Linked DNA regions of Drosophila melanogaster. The protein of the gene in region 1 interacts with the protein of each later gene in a pairwise test. Each region holds a gene or a part of one and is shown on either strand. Other genes may lie near its edges.

Evidence for each region.
Region 2: the proteins of Rpn12R (region 1) and Rpn3 interact in a two-hybrid assay, tested with the Drosophila melanogaster proteins (one large-scale study listed by BioGRID).

What each region holds. Positions count from the first base shown.
Region 1 is NT_037436.4:15,037,613-15,047,179, forward strand, and holds Rpn12R (regulatory particle non-ATPase 12-related), read right to left. Parts: upstream 4,959-9,567; 5' UTR 4,893-4,958; coding exon 4,104-4,892; 3' UTR 4,019-4,103; downstream 1-4,018. Other genes in the region: ind (intermediate neuroblasts defective), read right to left, coding at 5,290-6,252.
Region 2 is NT_033779.5:19,049,973-19,060,386, forward strand, and holds Rpn3 (regulatory particle non-ATPase 3), read left to right. Parts: upstream 1-1,817; 5' UTR 1,818-2,081; coding exon 2,082-2,245; intron 2,246-2,306; coding exon 2,307-3,627; 3' UTR 3,628-3,709; downstream 3,710-10,414. Other genes in the region: l(2)37Bb (lethal (2) 37Bb), read right to left, coding at 1-1,062, 1,125-1,526; CG10492 (uncharacterized protein), read left to right, coding at 4,879-5,598, 5,657-6,100, 6,280-7,548; Phlpp (PH domain leucine-rich repeat protein phosphatase), read left to right, coding at 9,675-9,878, 9,993-10,146. UniProt on the Drosophila melanogaster protein: Acts as a regulatory subunit of the 26 proteasome which is involved in the ATP-dependent degradation of ubiquitinated proteins.

The DNA.
Region 1 (9,567 bases):
TGTGTGTGTTTTAAGCTTTTTATATAATTGAAATCCGAACACGTGCCACTCAATGCGTATGCTGGCAATAAATTCAGTTTCACTTGTAATCTATACGCACATAAACACATCCACATATATGTATTTCTCTTGATTCCTTTCCATATGTAAATTTCACTTGGCCATCGGGTTGCTTTTGGGACCGAGGAAAAGGACATTGTCCTCACAGTGTGTAGGCGCCTCCTGGCATATGCTACAATCATAATTACATCGTCCTGAGCAGATAGTAGTCCTGAGCGTATGTTTACGTCTTGCTTTCGTGTCTTAATCACTGAGAAAAATCTGACTTTCTTTATTCACCAATGAATATTATTTTAAGATATTTAAAATTATGAAATATTGTAAAAAACACGAAACACTTTTTAAGATCACTTAAAGCTTTGACAACTAAAGCGGATACTAAGAAAAGAATTACTAAAATCAAAATATTTGTGAAATATCCTAAAAAATTTATTGCTTATAATTTTCTCTTTGAAAACGTTTTTTTCCAAGTGTGTTTTTCTTCAATGCCTAGTATGTCGTCAGTTGCATAACGAAGCGACAAAACTCATTTTAAACAGGCGCCACTCAACGACTGTGGGGCGCCACAGAAATTGCTCCATCGTTCCGCTCCAGACCCCTGGAACACAGATCCCACAGCCCAGAACCCAGGTCGTATTCCCGGTCGAGTCAACGTGCTGATGATGAGCCCAGTACGATTACCAACAAGTTCATTAAATACAATGCACAGTGTGGCCAAGGACGATGACGTGCTGGCACCAGATATCCTTCGAGGGCCACCGATTACGGGGAGGTGAAGATAGCTCCCCCGGTAGCTGATAGAAACTGTGGGATGCTTTGCAAATTGAAATCTTTATGGCGACATAATTATTGGAAACTAGCATTCTTTGGAAATTACTGAACTAGTGCACACTTAGTTCCGAAACAATTAGAAAACTTTAATAAAATGGTAAGTTGAAAACTGGGGCTTGTTTACCTCGAATCGAACTTATTTTTTCGTTTAATCGAAGTAGTGGATATGTAATATATGTAGACAATTGTATTGTAATTAAACAATTTATGGTTAATGGTTCATTTTCTTCACGGGCTTAAATAACCGCTTTAAGTGCGGACAACTTTACGGCTTCACACATCCTGTGACCTAAAAAGCACTCAAAGGGGCAACAATGTTCAGCGGCCACTTTAATGGGTCAATTAGCTGGTTCCACATATCGCGGCGTATACGGGAAAAGACCTCGATTGCGTGACCCGAGAACATCGACAGTTTTTACTAGGATTCTAAGGGTAAATTTGCCATTAATATGTGCTTAATCTAGGTCAAAACAAGGATACCGGAAGCCTTTTCGCTGAGACTCATAATTAAAAAGAAGAAAGTAAAAAACGCAATTATGTGGAAAAGTGAAAACTCATTTGGACTCATGTTTACCTTTGCTTGACCACCAAACAAGAAAATCACACAGACTACATACAAACACGTTGGCATATAGGTTAATTTATTTATTTTGGGTGCACGCTTTAATTTGCATAAGCTTAAAGGATTTTGGACGGCGAGCTTAGATTTACCTCAGTCTGCAGTTGTTTTATTGTCCTCCTCATGAAAACCCAATGGCCCCCAAATGTTTAACCCTGAAATTGTGTTGAAAGGAGTCCCCCAATAAAGCTTCAAAAGCTTCAAAGCTCCGGGAAACGTTTTGTTATAATCCAAACTTAATAATCTGAAAAAGTTAAATGTGGAAAGTGCTGAAAGCTTTGTAGGAAAAGCGTTCAAAGCTTTAAGGGAATTTTCCTGGTTTGGAATTTGGATTTAGAATTCCATCAGGACAGAAATTGAAAAATATTTAAATTAAACACTTGAGACCACAACCGTTGCACCACAGGGAATTTAAGGACTTATATGCCCTGGCGACAGAACGTCTGGACAAGAATCCAGAGTTGAACACCTGACAAATTTCTTCTTCTACTTTCAGGTAGGCGGGAAATTTTCAACGGAATTTCATTTGTTCTAGCCAGAAGCGTTGGCCTAATGATCTTTTAACAGGCCCAAAGAACCTGAGGGAATTTCCCAGCCTTGATGCACAGGCAGTGCAGCGCATTCATTCATGAGGCCAATTCAAAAAGAAAGATTCCACTTTAAACTGAAGAGGTTCTGCACTTCAGGATGTATTCATTCATGAAGTGTCTTCCACGCGGGAGATCGAAACAGCGAGGAATCTTGAAATCAGCGGGACACTCGAAAGTTGGCAAGACATCTGGCTAAAGGTACTTCCAACAGTGGATCCTACGGAGAAGAGGTGTATGCAAATTTGTTTACGGAAACAATTTTTGGAAACAGTCACAGCATTGAAATAATTTTTAGGGGTTAACACTACCGTGTTAATACCGTGTTAATAAAGTTTTAAGTTAAGACAATATTGGCTAAATGAAATAAAATAACTGCAAATATATATATATATAGATACTTTCCTACACAATGAAAACAGTACTATTAGAATTGTAGAATCCACTAATACTAATAGAATCTACATACTTTGTTAATACTGCCTTTTTATACTTTTCTTTAATTGAAACACCGAAACATTGTTTCTTATTGACAGTGCCGCCAATCGAGTATTTCCTTGCCTAATCTTACAACCAATTAACTTAGTTCCCATGTCTCCAAAATGCTGTCTCAGCATTTACTCGAATAGTAGCGAATGCTATCTGTGATTTTGAAAAAATCACTTTAAATCAACCTAGCGATAAAGATCGAAGAGCCCACGCAACACATTTTGGCACAACAGATTTCGCTACGCTCCTTGAATGAATTTGCGGAAAAATAGCTGATCCTGAATGGAGTCACCGAGTCCTACCTGCTGACCCAGCACTTGAAACTCAAGAGCCGAGCTCTTCAGCTCAAGTGGAAGAGGCGCACACTTGAGCAAGGAACTCCGGTAGATAACGATCGGGATGAGATCAGGTAAATCGGAGTGCAACATTTTCCAGAATAGCAAGGAGAATGGAATACCGAAATTCCGTTTAAAACCGCCGACTGGGCTATTTTGCCCATTGGCATTCCGATTTCCATTTTCGGACCGAAGGCCCAGAGGGGCGTAGGTGCAATTGCGTTTATTAGCACCGCACCCCTTGGGATCGCACAAAAGGATGAGTTAGTCCTCGTTTCGGTTCCAAGTTAGAGGACCCATTGAGAAATTGTCAGTCCGCCGTTCAATGAATGCTGAATGAGTCGGCTCCGTCTGGTTTTGTTGCGCATGATTCGTTTTGGGTTTGTCAACCATCTCGATTTTGGGCAAATCACTGCCATATCTCGGCTGATAGGCATCGGCCAAGTTGGCATCATCGGTTTGTGCAATTTGAAGTGTCGTGGGAAATGGATAAAAACTCTCCCCACTCCAGAGGCGAAAAATGTCCTTGATTAATTATAAGTTTTGATGATTCAGCAAAAATGATGAGGTGTCATCATTTGCGGTTCTTTATAGGTGGCAGACCACACATTTCGCCTGGGGATATATTCAATGTTCTGGCGAAACTAATTAATAAATGGTTTCATTCTGTATACCTAACTTCGATAACATTCCAAACAAAATTGTAAAATTAAATACTTATTAAATACTTTAATTTCATCAAAAAGAACATATTAAAAGCTGTGATTTTATAGATTATTTTTCCCAAAAGGAACCCTAAAATCCCTTGGGAACAAAAATTTTTAGGCCTAACTACCTTCCTATGAAACACATATCCTTATCCTAACAACCATCATATTAGACTGCCACTCACTAAGCAGCTCTAACAATCATCCTATGAAAGATTTGCAAATGAGATTTCGCCGGAAAACATTCCCAATCGCATAATTTGTCAAGCCTGTCGACTTAGCGGCCCTCTGAGCAACTCAATTTTTGCACATTTTATGCCAAAAAATAAACGAGTGAAGCCATTGAGATGTGTGAAAAATTAAATCTGACAAATTTCCGGTTCGCTATTTACTGATTTTTGGACGAATGTATAAATTCTGGATATTATTTTCCGGTTGAGGGGATTAGAAGCAAGAATTGATCTAATGAGAAAATTCAAACTATTTTCTCTAGCTCTTGGGCATAGGTGAGATTATGCGTGGCGATGTCCTTGGCAGGAACCTTCTCCATAGGTCTGGTATGAAGTCCAGCATAGTCGTAGTTCCCCTCCTCGTCCAGACACCACTGGCGCTTAGTGGCCAGCTCGAAAAGCTCCTTGGAACCGGGACGAAGGCCTAAACGCTGAGCAGCTAGTTTGGGCGCCATCTTCAGATAGGATTTCTCCATGCAGGATGCGATCTCCTCACGCGCCGTGTTCACCAGGATGTCCATAAAATTCGAATAGATCTCCGAGGGCATAGATTTCTTGGCTTGCAGTATCTTGTTGTATCTGCCCTCCATGTAGTAGTTCTCCAAAGCCAAAACGGGTTGGATGAAGCTATCATGGAGCAGCAAAGCCGTCGGCAAACGTTCCAGTTCGATGTGGAAGTCGGCAAGGCGATTGGTAGCCAACATATAGAGCAGATTTAGGCCCATGAACTTGTACATGTGCTTCGATGATTCCAAGTACTTATCGTAATCATAGTAGTAGGTATTTAACTGGGCCATATATCTCTCGAAGGCAGCATAATCCTTGATGGTGATGCTATGTTCCACGGCGATTTCCAGCATCTCCCGCGATTTGATTAGCTGATCCTTTTGCTTGGAACTCGATGCAGTTTGGATTGTTCCAAAGTTTGACCTCACCAGCTCCAGTTTGAAGCCATCCAGGAGGCGGGAGCAGTGGGTGAGGTTGGGCGCATGTTTGCTCCACTCGTTCTTCAATTCGGTGTACAGATTCGACATGATTACAGCAAAGTCTCGACAACGACTAAATTTTTGGGAATGAAAATTTTGTTCGTTTTGATTGACAGCACAAATTTGGAACGAAATATCGACACTAGCGTTTGGTATTTTTAGGGATATTCCAGGGCTGCTATATATTTATTATATTCATTTAATTGGTTCGTAATTTAAAATTATTTAGTATTTTTTAGTAAAGCCATCTTGGGCCAACTTAGCTGCTAGATGTGAACCCACTTTGCATAAATAAATCATTGCTTTCTATTATGGTTTATCTATCCCAAAAACGTCGTTTTTCATTTTGATTAAAATTTATTTACTTTAACATACTTATGACTGAAAACAGACTAAAATCTACTGTACAATTACATTATTCTTATGGTTTAATAGGTGATTGATTCTACGCCTCAACCTTCAATTCGTGGACTTTGACTTGGGGAGACACTGGAGATGCTTGCGGACTTCCATTGGAGTTGGTGGACAGATTGAAGGTGGGACTTTCGGAGCCGCCCTTTTTCTGCTTGACTCGGCGATTCTGGAACCAGATCTTCACCTGCTTCTCGGAAAGGCGCAATCTATTGGCGATTTCGATGCGACGTAGGCGGGATAGGTAGGCGTTGTGCGAGAATTCTCGCTCGAGCTCCAGCAACTGGGTGCTGGTGAAGGCAGTGCGGATCCTTTTGCTGGAATCGGCATAATCGTTGATCAGCGGCGTGATCTCGACGGGACCTCCCGAAGAGTGGTTCTTCAGTGGTGAGCTATTCGGAGAGCAGGAGGACTCGTGCTTGAAACGCTTTCCTTGAGGTTCATCAAAGTTATTGGTATAATCCAAAGAGGCGGACGATGAAGCGGACGGTGATGTGCAGAAGCTTCCAGGTTCCGGTAAGGGTAATCCGCCCACAACTGGAGATCCGTAGAGGTTGTGTATTGGCGGCAATTGCTGGGAGTTGGGATTGGCCGAGAGCGGTGGCGATGGATAACATCCTTCGTAGTTGCTGAATCCACTGGACTTCCTCTTGCTGGCGAACAGCTGGGCGTATGGATGGTAAAGGGAACCGGGACTCGAACTGACATGTGGATGTTGCTGCAAGGCAGCTGCTGCTGCTGCGGCCGCTGCTGCAGCTGCTGCGTGCTGTTGCTGCTGCTGCTGTTGTTGCTGCTGCTGCTGGATGCCCAAGGAGAAGAGATAGCTGCCCACATAGCTGGCCGGGTAAGGAAGCATGGGTATCGATGGTAACATGGCAGCTGCGGCCACTGCAGCAGCGGCTGTAGGACTTCCTCCTGGCGATCCCAGTTTCTCCTTCTTCTGGCTCAAATTGGGCCTATCGCTGAGTAGGGAATCCATCAAAAATGAACGCGACATCTTGGGTTTCTGGGGTATTTCGTTTTCCAACTGATCTCGAGATGAGCTACTGAACACGATCGCTGACTGTGCGAAACTGTCTGGCTGCTGCGCCCTCACCCGGTTCTTATATACCTCGAGACTCTGTTCTGGGGGTTGGTTTGCCACTTCCACACCCCTGAGGGCCAATTCGAGGGTTGTTTGAGCGAGTGTGTTCGGCCATTTAGTCACCATTTAGCAACAACTGTTGCCATTTACGCTCCGCCCTTGTTCGATCACTCACAATGCCGCAAATGGCAGGTAAGCGATGATTCACTGTATCTGTGCGAAAGGACAATGGCGAACCCTCCTTTGCCATCCTGCCATACATATGTATGTGTGTGTGTGTGGGCTTGGGTGTGTGCGATGGGACTGTATTGGTGTCCCTGTGGAACGAATCAGTCTTTCCAATTCGTATTATCACTCGAGTTTAATTGAAAGTTGAAGAGAGTGCGTAAAAGCTTTTTAAACGGAACTGAATTAGTTCAGCCTAAGCTAGATCAAATTACATTATTGGTATTTCGAACTTTCAATAAAATCATCAAGCAGCTTATTTTATAGACAGTGTTAAAAATGTATTTAATTAAAAATACAAATTTTAATTAATAGTTTTATTAGAAAATCCATATATATTGCTTGCATATATATTTTTTTTTAATTTGCCTAGTAACTTATGTTTGAAAAATAAACAAATGCAACTTCATAAAACTTTAAGTTATGAAGAAGCATCAAAAAAGTCATTATAAGCAATATTATCATATGAGCAGATATTGTATTTATAAGCAGTTCGTTCATTTTCAGGCTTTTACATATTGGCTTTTTTTCATCATTGTTAGGTTTTAACGAATTATTTATATTTTTATGGTAAACAAATCAAATTATATTAAAGTGTTTGTTGTGTAGAAAAAGACAAATAGCATCCATAGCATTCTTGCAAAAATTATTAATATTATAACCATCTGTTTTTACTTACAAGCAAGCGCAATTGTAATTCTTTTTATAGGAAGATCTTTTAAATAGCCAACGAAATTTACACAGTATCTTGTTTGTAATTTATTGCATTACAAGAAAACCTCTTCAGTGACCCTTCACAATCGAATCGATTAATTTTACAACCATTGAAAACTGCAAGCCCTCCAACCGTTTAATGCCAATTTCATGGCAACTTATGGCCCGAAGTGGTGGCTGCCGAAATCTCGAATCGAACCTTTACTTCTACAACTCCCGTTTACCAGACCCTCCAGCACATTGGGTATATGTATATGTATCTCTTCTTTGAGTCCTAGTCCTCGCCTTGGCGTAATTTTATTGATGCATTCTTCTGCTTGTGCAACTACGGCGAACAATGCGGCAAGGATCATCCATTCAGGACGATCCCATTCATGGATGCAGTCGTTTGGTCCTTTGACAAATCCAAGACACGACGCACGTTGCGCCTTTGTTTGTGTGTATTTTGGGCCAGGTCGGGACATTTAAGCCAGACAGTACGTCGCCGAAATGTTGTTCTTGGGCTACATTACACAGAATTATGGCGGCAGTTTTATCATTTGTTAACTGACTTTAGGGATTTACCTATAATTGTCCTTTTCATGGCATTGTGCCGAGGTGCGGCATTGTCGCCCTTCTGCCAGTTGATCGTATGTTAAGTGGCTATAAAACCGATCACAATTGCTGACGTTAATTGTTAATTGTCGACCGACTTCTACGTAGGCGATCCGAATGTTCGCCCACTTTTTAAGGTTTTTAAGTATTTGGCTTCTGCTTAATTGGCGGGCTGTGCAAAAAAAAACAAAAAGGAATCTGGACACTGGTCAATAGCGAAATCGGGAGCAGATGCTGTTGTGTTAATATTTTTGTTGGAATTTCTGCTCTTTGGGCGTTGCGTTGGTCTCGTGCGAGAGCTCCTTTTGACCGCCTTTTAACAATTGTTTGGGCCACTTGAGATTTTCTCCATTGGCCACTTCCGTTTTTTGTCTGCGATTATTGCACGCTCGATTGATTCGGGTTTCCTTTTTATTCACAATTGGATCGTGCTATTGACTTAGACTTCGTCTATGGCTTATAAAGAATACAAATGTTTCGGATTTGGAAATATTCAAATTTTCTTATCTCCAAGATAGCATCGGCTTCGTTCAAGCGAACAATTTCATTTTAATTGTGAACAAAAGTCGCCTAAACGCTGAACAAATGAAAGCATAACGAAATGTTTACTTCCCCTTATTTTTTGATATGGATACAACGCAAAACTAACAGAGTCGGGGAGAACATCAAACCGGATTTGCCCATTAAAGGGGTGTTTCAAAAAAAATTCTGAAAACTGAACCACCACCATAGTGGGTATTCGAAACCCTTATAAATGCGGATTGGGTTAATCATTTATTGACATTAATTGGTTGTGACATTTGCATTTTGACTGATTGTTCTAGTTGCCATTGTTGCTACTTAGCCAAGGGTTTGTTTATCCACTTTCTTGTTTTGTATATTTGTTGATTTAACAAATATGACTTCATTATAGACCATGCATTTTTATATAGCCCCATGCATTCGCTCAGAAAAATTATTATTTACCCCTGAATAATTTACGAATGAGCTTTGAGGTTGAGTCTGGCTTCTCTGCGTGTTACTGAGTCAATAGGCCTCGGGAAATGCTTGGGGTTACTCGATATAGGATGGGTTTTGTGCAATTAAATTATACGGTAATGATGGTATTGTGAGAAATAATATCGATGTATTTAAAAAATATAAACACGTTTAGATATCAGAAAAACATCACGATGCTCTTATATTCCCCAGTTAAATGGCAAAATAAACCCTTTTTTGGGTATTAGGTAAAGTGGGATAAGTTTTTTAGGAAATCTTCCGGACTTACATTAGAATAAACGTGAAAAAAATTTTACAAAACTATTTCATATTATTACTATTTGATAAATAGAAGAACTAAAAAATAATTAATAAAATACAGTATAGTTTCTCTATAAAAAAAATTTATGAGAAATATGTTTCTAGGCAAAAAAAAAGTTGCCTTCTTAATGATTATTTTTAGTTGTTCTTCAACTATTGAAAACAAATATCAAAGTATCGCACCGCCAAGTGTCCAAAAATTCAAACCAAAACAAAAGAAACTTTTTCATTCTTTTTTTCGAGTATTATTTTCATGAATGAAAAGTCAGTGGCTGGACAAAGGACACTCCACAAAGGACCCAAACACGATCCGCACTTGCAGTGATCTGCAGTTTTGTTTTTTTTTTTTTTCTTTTCTCTTTTGTCGGAGAAGAGCGAACCTTGCGAGGTAAAAAT
Region 2 (10,414 bases), on another chromosome or scaffold:
GAACTGACCATCCATGATCAGCTCGGATATGGCTCGGCCCACGGCCAGAGATTGCTGTACTCCGTGTCCGCTAAAACCGGTGGCTAGGTACAGATTGTTGTAGTACGGGTGAGCTCCTAAAATGCCGTTCTCGTCGTATACGTTATGATCATAGCAGCCCGCCCAGCTATCCACCACTTGGGCTTCTCCAAGAACGGGAATTCTATTATACAAATGGGGTCTGATGTGCTGGGCGAAATATTGCGGATCAATCATCGCGCTATTATACTCTTCCGTCGAATCTTGCACGCAAATATAGTTGCCGCCCAGGCCATCTCTGCGAATAAAGATGCCCGACGGATCTATTGTCATGGGCATATTCATTCCGGGTGCACTTTGGGCCTGCGAGTTGATGGCGTACATGTATCGCTTGCGTGCGTTGATGGGCAGCGGAACCCGAAGTATTCCTGGACCCACGCCTATCCTTGCTAATCGCGCGATTTGTTCGGAACTAGCACCGGCGCTTATTACACACAGGGCGAACTTGCAAGTGCGTCGCGTACCATCGGGCAGTTGGATGACCGCTTTTTCCAAGCCCGTGTAGGCACCCTCGTTGGAACCAAGATCTGTGACAACAGAAATGTCCGTTTGGGATTTGAACTCGAAGTCGACCACCTGGCCACTGATAAAATGGGCGCCGTAGCCACTGGCTGACCGTCGGAAATTGCTCAGAAGTGCCAACGGATTAAACCAGCCCTCTTTTTCCAGACCAAGACAGCCCAAAGCGATGCCCTTGGTGTTTAGCCAGGGGAATCTGGCAGTCAGTCGATCTGCAGTGAGAAGTTCATTTCGGGCACCCAGTTCGTTTTGTAGCTGAGAGGAGCGCTTCAGGCTTTCCGCGTGCTCCTCGCCAGCGAGCATCAGATGGCCATGGGGCGTAAACTGGAGAGGCACTTCCTCGCCAAAGTGTTTTCTTGCGCTTCGCAGGAAGTCTGCGGCAAATAGTGACATTTGGATGTTTTCGGGCAGGGAGAATTGCTGACAAAGACCGCCCACCGAAACACGCGTGGCTGACTGGGCATACTAGAAATATGTGGAAGGCAAATTAAATATTCGGGGTAGACTGGTACACATCATTTTACTACCGTGTCATCCTTCTCGACCACCACAACGTTAAGACCGTCGCGGGCCTTCTCCTTCAGCCAATAGGCGATGGAGCTGCCCACTCCACCGCCGCCAATGATGAGCACATCGCAATGGGTCTGGAAGTCATCCGGCACAGTGGCTTCCTTGCTCTTGTCGCGCTCCCCTGAAAAGTGAAACTGGCTCTGTGTCGGAATGGGAACTTTCTCGGTCTCCGGTTCCTTTGGTACAAAGAACTCCTTAACTTTGCGCATATCGTTCCCGAGCAAACGGAGTGTTCGTCGTATGGGGTGCAGGTCTTCGCCGGATTTGTCGCCCCCGGAAGATCCACTTCCATTGCTCGTTGCTCCGGCCGAGAAATTACGGCGCTGAAGGAGACCCACCACTTGTCTGTACCGCAACATTTTATTCTCTTTAATTTTAATTTAATTCATATTCCGTATTAATTTTTTATTTTGTGTTATTTTGTAATAGTAATAACGTGCGATGTTATCGGAGTATCGATATCGAAAAGGCTTAACGGAATTGTGGTAATGTTTTATTGCAATTTAAATAAAAATACGCTTTTACTGAGTGCGTAACTTAAGAAAAGGCTTAACGGAATTGTGGTAATGTTTTATTGCAATTTAAATAAAAATACGCTTTTACTGAGTGCGTAACTTAAGAAATTCCTAACCCAAATTAAAGCAATAGATACATTTACTGTAAAACATTAAAAATAAATTCCTATAACATATGAGACTGAAAGTTCGCTCAGTGTACCGTAAAACGTATCGATAAATTGAAACGTAACGGCTTAACAGCTCTGTTAACCAACTAAATTTACCAGCACTGCCTGTAGCCGAAAACGAATAAGAAGAAGAAGCGACATTACTAGGCATTTTTGATTGGGATTGAGAAAAACAAAAGAAAAGTCGGCTATATTTGTGACCCCAGTAAATTGAGAGTTCCATTACAAAATGACCAACGCAACGGACATCGGTGCTAACGACGTGGAGATGGAGGTGGATCCAACGGCGGAGACGCTGGCTGACGAGAAGAAGAACCAAGATGTGGCCGCCGTGCAGGAGATCCGCGAGCAGATTCGTCAGATTGAGAAGGGGGTAGCCTCGAAAGAGTCGCGGTGAGTAGTGCAAGAATTAAAATCTTGTCCCTTCCTTATTATGGCTCATTTCCGCCAACAGCTTCATCCTGCGCGTCCTTCGCAATTTGCCCAACACTCGTCGCAAGCTGAACGGCGTCGTCTTCCGGAATCTTGCACAGAGTATTTACCCCGCTGGTGCAGATCGTGAGGCGGCCGTGGCTTTGATGCCCGCTGTGGAGAAAGACGCCACCGAGCTGCCCGATGTTCCCAAAAAACAAGTTGCCACCAAGGCTCCAATCGCCGAGGTCGATGCCTACTTCTACCTGCTCCTGCTGGTCAAGCTCATCGACGCCAGTGATTTAAAGCGGGCCGGAATTAGCGCCGACGCCCTAATGGCCAAAATCTCCATCCAAAACCGACGCACCCTTGATCTGATTGGTGCCAAGTCCTACTTCTATTTTTCAAGAGTGGCGGAGCTAAAAAACTCACTGGAAGGCATACGCTCGTTCCTGCACGCTCGTCTGCGCACCGCTACGCTGCGTAATGATTTTGAAGGCCAGGCGGTGCTTATTAACTGTTTGCTCCGCAACTACTTGCACTATGCTTTGTACGACCAAGCCGACAAGCTGGTAAAGAAATCCGTCTACCCGGAATCGGCCAGCAACAATGAATGGGCGCGTTTCCTGTACTATCTAGGTCGGATTAAGGCCGCTAAGCTGGAGTACAGCGATGCCCACAAGCATCTGGTCCAGGCCCTGCGTAAGTCGCCGCAGCACGCTGCCATCGGCTTTCGTCAGACGGTTCAAAAGCTAATTATCGTTGTGGAGCTGCTTTTGGGCAACATCCCGGAGCGTGTGGTGTTCCGGCAAGCCGGTCTTCGCCAATCTCTTGGTGCCTACTTCCAGCTCACGCAGGCCGTGCGTCTGGGCAACTTGAAGCGCTTCGGCGACGTGGTATCCCAATACGGACCCAAGTTCCAACTGGACCACACATTCACCCTGATTATCCGGCTGCGCCACAATGTGATCAAGACGGCAATCCGCTCCATCGGACTATCGTACTCACGCATCTCGCCGCAAGACATTGCCAAGCGGCTAATGCTAGACTCCGCGGAGGATGCCGAGTTTATTGTATCGAAGGCTATACGGGACGGCGTGATTGAGGCTACGTTGGACCCAGCCCAGAATTTCATGCGCAGCAAGGAAAGTACGGACATCTACAGCACCCGGGAACCGCAGCTGGCCTTTCACGAGCGCATCTCGTTCTGCCTGAACCTGCACAACCAGAGCGTTAAGGCCATGCGCTATCCCCCAAAGTCCTACGGCAAGGATTTGGAGAGCGCCGAGGAGAGACGCGAGCGGGAGCAGCAGGACCTTGAGCTGGCCAAGGAGATGGCCGAGGATGATGAGGATGGTTTCTAAGCGGCTGATTCTGCAAATTAATTTGTGCTTGCATTCATTTTTATAGAAATATAATCCGCAATTAAATAAGTTACAATAATTTCGGAACTTTTTTAATTAGGTATTGGAAATCAAAAATAGTTCAGAACTGATCTTTCTTTTTATTCAAGCAAAAAGTTGTATGTTGTTGTTGGTAGACAATCAAAAATTTCAATTCGGTTAGAAATGGAAAAACATTTTAAAAATGTCACTCTTCTGGCAGCCTTGGCGCGTTAATTTAAAACGAAGTCTGGCAACATAGATTCATATTCTTCTTTAGATCTTTTCCCTCCAAAGCTATTTTATTAAAGATCCCTTAAGTACATTGGCAGGACTTTTCTCTGATTGATAGAGGTAATTTATGATATGTAAATTATAGATGGAAAAGATGCAAATATTATTTCAATTACTTTAAACACGACCTTCCACAAAAAGCACACTTTTTCTGACGAAGGTTTTGGTCGGCAGTATTAACGGTCACACTGGCGCAAACAACACAAACAGCAGCCACGGTCACACAAATCAAAGTGGAAAAAATTTTTAGACAAAAAGGTGCACACAATGCAAATTAATTAAAGGCCGTGCGTATTAAATGCCCTAATACGCGATCCTACGTACTGTATTTTGCTGCCGAAAAGTGCAACGCGCGCCTATCGGGGAGTTTCGCGGAAATTGCTGGGTTTTTTGTGACAGCGGCGAGTAGTCTCCTCCGAATAACAGCGGCCGAACAGCGAGCGTTTTGCGAAGCAGCGAGTGCCTGGCCAATGTGGTGCAGCCCCCCGCCACCCGCCGCCCGCGCACCCCCTACCCCGCTAACGCGCAAAATATACGCGACTAGTTGTAGTTGTGGGCAGCAGAGCAGCAGGAAAAGCAGCAGCAGCCGATCAGCTCTGCCTTTGTGAGCGGATTAGTGGCGAAGAAGCCAGCGAAAAGCCAATTAACAGTGCCCCGGGAAGCTGGGCCGGTGTCCACGAGCGGATCTCAGCCAGCCTTCGACAATTCCGGCTGTGATGCAGCAGCTGCTGCTGCCACCTAACGAGATTCTGGACGCCTTTTGCACCCACCACACGTAACTAGAGCACTCACACTGACGCGAGCACACACACACACTCACACACATTCGGAGACGGGCCAACTGGCGAACGGGCACACTATTAGGTGGCCATTGATGCAGTGCAGCCGCTTGCAGGGATTCGGGATCGGTAGGTGAAAAGGACTGGGACAAGCGTGGAGATGATTTGCAAACAGGACGTTCTGCAGTGGTTTGAGAAACTCGAGAGCTACAATCGGATCGAAACGATGTACGCCCTGCTCACCGCCTGCCTGCCATTCGAGCTGCGATTTTTGGGCACGCTCCTCGAGGAGCAGGGCCGTTGCGACTCGGAGACGCTGCGAGGCATGGAGCTGCGGGCGAATAACCCGCACGAGCTGGCCGCCGACATGGTGAACTGCCAGAAGGGCGATCCCACCGACCGGAAGATCCGGCGCAAGATGGCCCTGTATCTGGCGCTTATCCGTGCCTGCAATCGGAACTGCGTCAGTGAGATCTACCGCACGCTGGAATGCTGGGGCGAGTGCGATTTCAGTTGCATTAATGATCAGGACACGCTGTTGGAGCTGCTGCTGGTCTACACGATGGCAGCCATCCACCCGGTGTTCTCCATGGAGGAGCAAAAGAAGATTTTCGGCATTCTGGCTAAGATCAAGGAGAACAAGTTGGTAGCAGAGCGATTCGCGCCTCAAATGCAAAGACAGACACAGACGCCAGTGCTCCAGCATCCTCACCCGCCGTCCCCACATGACCTGGTCATTCAGCAGCAGCCACCACACGTGATCCACCAAATACCAGGACCGCAGCAGGCGCCCCCGCACCCGCAACATCCTCAAATGGTGCAGGTACTGCAGACGCCGCAGGGCAACATACCCATGATCTTTCCCCAGCACTTTCAAAAGGTAAATCTTTAAATAGAAAACCACTAAAAGTTTATTAACTTAATCTGTTCATCTACAGCTTCTGCCCAGCTCTGATGGAACGCACCAGATCAGTGTCGATGGCATGCCGCACCTGATGCAGCCTAACATCACCATTCCAGCGGACACTAGTGCCATCATCAGTCACCAGAACACGGGATGGACGATGCGTCACTACGTGCCACAACCGCCCCACCAACAGCCCGCTCTGCAGCAACAGCAGCCGCAGAGTCTGGACCATCAAGTGCCACCTGCCAGCTCGCCGATGCTGAGTCAGCAATCCTCGCCATCGAGTAGTCGCACCACGAGTCCTCAGCGGGACCGCTCCCTTATTAACGTTCCACTGCAGGCGCAGCAGCAACCACATCAGCAGCAGCAGATGAGGGGCATGTCCCAGCGAATGGCGGATCAGAAGAACACGCGGCGTCCCTCGGCGGAGACTACCCCGCCGCCAACCTCAATTGGCGGCGAGCAGCAGCACGATGTAATTATTAAACAACTAAATAATTTGTTTATTTATTTGAAGCAAACTCAAGATTTAAATTTAAAGGAAATTAACTAATATCAGCATTAGCATCCATTGTTTAGCTCGGCAATATTTAGTAGTCTCCATATAATCACCATAATCATATCGCTTATACGACAAATAACTTACCTTTACAGAGTGTCAACGAAGGCGGAAGCAGTAATTCCAGCGGAACCAGTCTGCACAGACTCATCCGCAACGGTTTTCCGCGTCTAGGACACAATCATCGAGTCAAGGCAAATACCTTCATACCACAGCACCAGCAACAACAGCAGCAGCATCACTTTCAGAACCCCAACTACAACATGAACGTTATGATGCAGAGTATGAATATAAACGACGATGGCAGTGGATCGATGATGAATTCCATGAACTCCACCAAAAGTGCAGCTACCACGGGTAGTGAATCGGGCAGCTCGAATGGATCCTGTGGTGACCTGTCGCCCTCTGAGACGCCAACGCCCACGCAGCTCTCACTGCCACTGCACAATTCGGTGGATGCGGGAATGGGCATGATCACGACAGTACTGCCCACCGGTCTGGGAAACTATCAGCCGAAGCCACACCACTTCAGCTACAAGCAGCAGCAGCAGCAAATGAATCTGCAGCAGCGGCTAAACGGACGCAATGGGATGGATAAGACCTATCAGCAGGTTTACACAACGGGCACGCCAAGCATCGTCAGCGATGCACAGACCATCAGCAGCGCCAGCCTGCAGCAGCAGCAGCCCCAGACCCTTCTCATCAGCCAGTCTCCGGTGAGCACACCCACGACAACGGTGCTCCTGCAGCCGCAACAACCGCCGCCCACAACCTACAACACAAGCTATCCATATCACCAGCGAGGACCCCCGCCGCCACAGCAGACGATATTCCAAGCGCATAGTGCGCCGCCTCCCCAGACGGTGCGTGGTGGCTTCCGTTATCCGATGGGTCCGCCACACAACGGTGAGCTTATTTACCCGACCTTCCACACCAGCCTGGCCTTCCTGCCAATGACAGCGGGAGGAACTCCTACCGCGGTAACGCCTGCCCAGCTCCAAAGCACAGCGGCCGTGGTCAGTACGAACGCGGTGAGCGTGCAGACGGTGCCGACGCCACAGCAGCAGCAAGTCCCCAGCACGACGCCGTACAGTGCCCTCACTGTCTGCCCCATCACGGGAGCGGGTGGTGGCGGAACCGCGCCGAAAGTGATCTCCTGCTACAACTGTGGATCGCAGACGCACAGCGGGCGAGAATGCCAGGAGGCGTCGATGGAGGATGTGACTCGAAGCGCTAGCTACAAACTGGACTACTCCGAGACGAGCATGGACTCAAGCGCCACGGGCGATCACCACAAGGACGTGGGCAGTGTGCAGATCAACTCAACGGCGACTGCGGGGACGGTGACCAGTACGGTGAAATAATACGGAGGGACCGTATATTAACGTACATATATGGAAATATTATTACTGCTATATTAATGATTATGCATAATCCTTACCTACTTATACGAATTACCATTTATTATGATTGTGTAGTGCGGAAATCAAATTTCTCGCCTTTGCCACGTCTCTTAGTTCCGTAAGCCTCTCAATTCGCGTTAATTCAATTCGAGGATCGGCAGGCGGCTGCGGTTGCGGCTAAGTCTTGACAACCCTTATCCGTAAATAAGAATGATTTAGGTGCGCCCTGCCATGCCCTGCCCTGCCACGCCCCTCCCACACACATAGTCGATAACGAATTTTAGTCATATGCCACTCTTAATATTTCTAACGTTAAGTTGAATGTACAACAGCAATAAGTAATAATCCTAATCCGCGTTCTGCGCTCCGCGTTTCCGTAAACTCACTCAACGGGCAGATATGTTACAAATGCCACGATCGAATTAAGCTAAAGAACCATTACGTAAGCCATTACGCGACCACGACGGGGGGCGTAACCATACCGTAACCTAACGTAACGAAACGGAATGAAACGAAACTGGGAGAGGGGATTGGAGTTGCCCAGGAAAACAGAACACACGTAGCATACGGATTAACTAGCAAATATATTAAAATTGATTATGTGTATAAACAAACGAGTGTAGCAGCACAGTGTGCATAGTTAACCGACTTCTGATTCCAACCGAGCCCTCTGATCTACTAACACCCTGTACTCTAGTTACTCCGCCATCTATTTATTTGCTGCTCCTTTGTTTAAACATGTATTTTTAGCAATGTTTTTTTTGTACTTTATATAAATACCAACATACTTATATACACACATATATATATATATATTACATTATATATATATATATTATTTTAAAGCAAACAATCGTATATGATACACTCTTATGTGGATAGGGCGTACGTTACTGCTAAGCACTCTGTCTAATGATTATTTTATGTACTCACAACTTGAACCCCGATGGGCAACTGTATATGAACTGTGTATGAACTGGTCAAGTTAGAGAAATAACCGTTAAGGTCACGCCAAAACCGCCCACGGTTGACCACAAAATACAATTGCCTGCCCTTAGTTTCTTATGTATAGACGTTGTTAAAATTTTGTAAAGTCAGCAGACGAACTGCAAGGTAATGAAAATAGAAGCAAATGATTTACATGAAATACACACTCTTCTGAGTTTGCTGCTAATGCGTAGGCATGACAAACAATTATTATATTTCATTGAAATAATAAAAACAAATTGTTTCTAAAATTCGAGTAACAAACACAAAGCTACAAGTCGAACTGTTTTACTCAGCTCCTGCACTTTGCCTTTTTATGTTTTCCTTTGATCTTCGACATTACCTCTTTCCAACAGGTGGCCATTTAAGAGAGCCCCTCGTGCTCTTTGATCGGATTGCTGAAACTCACCCTCTTTTCAATGACCAAGTCTTCTCTAGGCTTTAAAAGACTGCTGTACAGTGGGTGCTGTATAGCGCGAATGGAATATTTAATATTACAACTTTAAACTTTAAAGATCATATCCATTATTCATGGGGGAGTACATTTAAAAAAACTACAATTTAAATTGAAACTTTGTAATATCGCATATATTACTTTACTTTTAAAACTTACGAACTTTAAATTCACACAGAAAGGGTACCACTGTACTTCCACGTCTCGAGTGCAACTCGGATTTGGGCAATACGACAAGAAACCGAAAGACCGAGGATCCCTCAAGCGTGTCCGTCTTTCAGTAACGGCCCAGAGTCATCATAGCCGTAGTTATCGTGTTCGTCTTCAGTTGAGCGGTCGCTTTTATCGGGTGCGGATATCATATAGTAACATGTAGGAGTATTACCAAATTCAGACAGTTGCCTATTGCCACATCTCGGCAAGTCCCCTTTAAAGAACTAATAAGTGCAGGCAAAAGGTGATATGAATTAGTGACCGAGTGCAGTTAGGTTTTAGAAATAACAGTGTAGTGGATTATTACCCCACTAAAACAAATGAAATCCGCTGCGATCGCCACTCGATGGGTGTTCGTTGATGCATAGCGAAGTTGGAGTCTTTGCCAAGAGCTCGAAGTGAAATAAAAGAAACCCCCAAGAGGGCCGGAACAATGCTCAAAGCCACGAGGAAGCAAGCGGATCCGTACAAATCGAAGCTGAAAGTTAGTGCCAGCCACAGTGGACCGCATCCACTGCCCGTCGAGGTGACGGCGGCAGAGGAGGAGCAGGCCGCCACTTTTGGCCAGACATCCCCCCAGAAGCTCAGCCTGAAGGGCAGCCAACTGGGCGGCAGCATTTTGATTGGCAACTACAATGTGAGTTGACTCCACTCCGGCTGTCGGTATCCGACATCCGGCTTCCGGTACTCCATATCCGGCTGGCATGCCTGTACATCTTCCCCAATCGCCGTTTTCTCTTTTCGTCCGCAGTATTTGACCCAGCTGGAGGTATGCGAAAACGAAATGGAGGTCTTGGATCTCAGTTCGCTCGCTCAACTGGAGACGCTGAAGTGCAGCCGGAACAAGCTGATGGAACTGATCATAAATGGCACCAATTTGCAGACACTTGTCGCCGACCATAATTGTAAGGGGTTCTTATTGAATGTATTCCACATTCTGCATTTAAATCTTAAATAAAAACTTTATCTGTGGCGCCTACGTCTCTATAATCTATTGCTTAATCTTAATCTTTAAGCTTATATTGTAGAAGAAGTAGCGTTTATACGGACGGACGGAAATTGATCCTGAACTTTATAGGGTCTATTATTCTATTAAACTCTCATACTCTATGCGTAATGGGTAGAATTAAAATGAATAGGATTCTAAAACAGTATCACTTCTATTACTCTTCA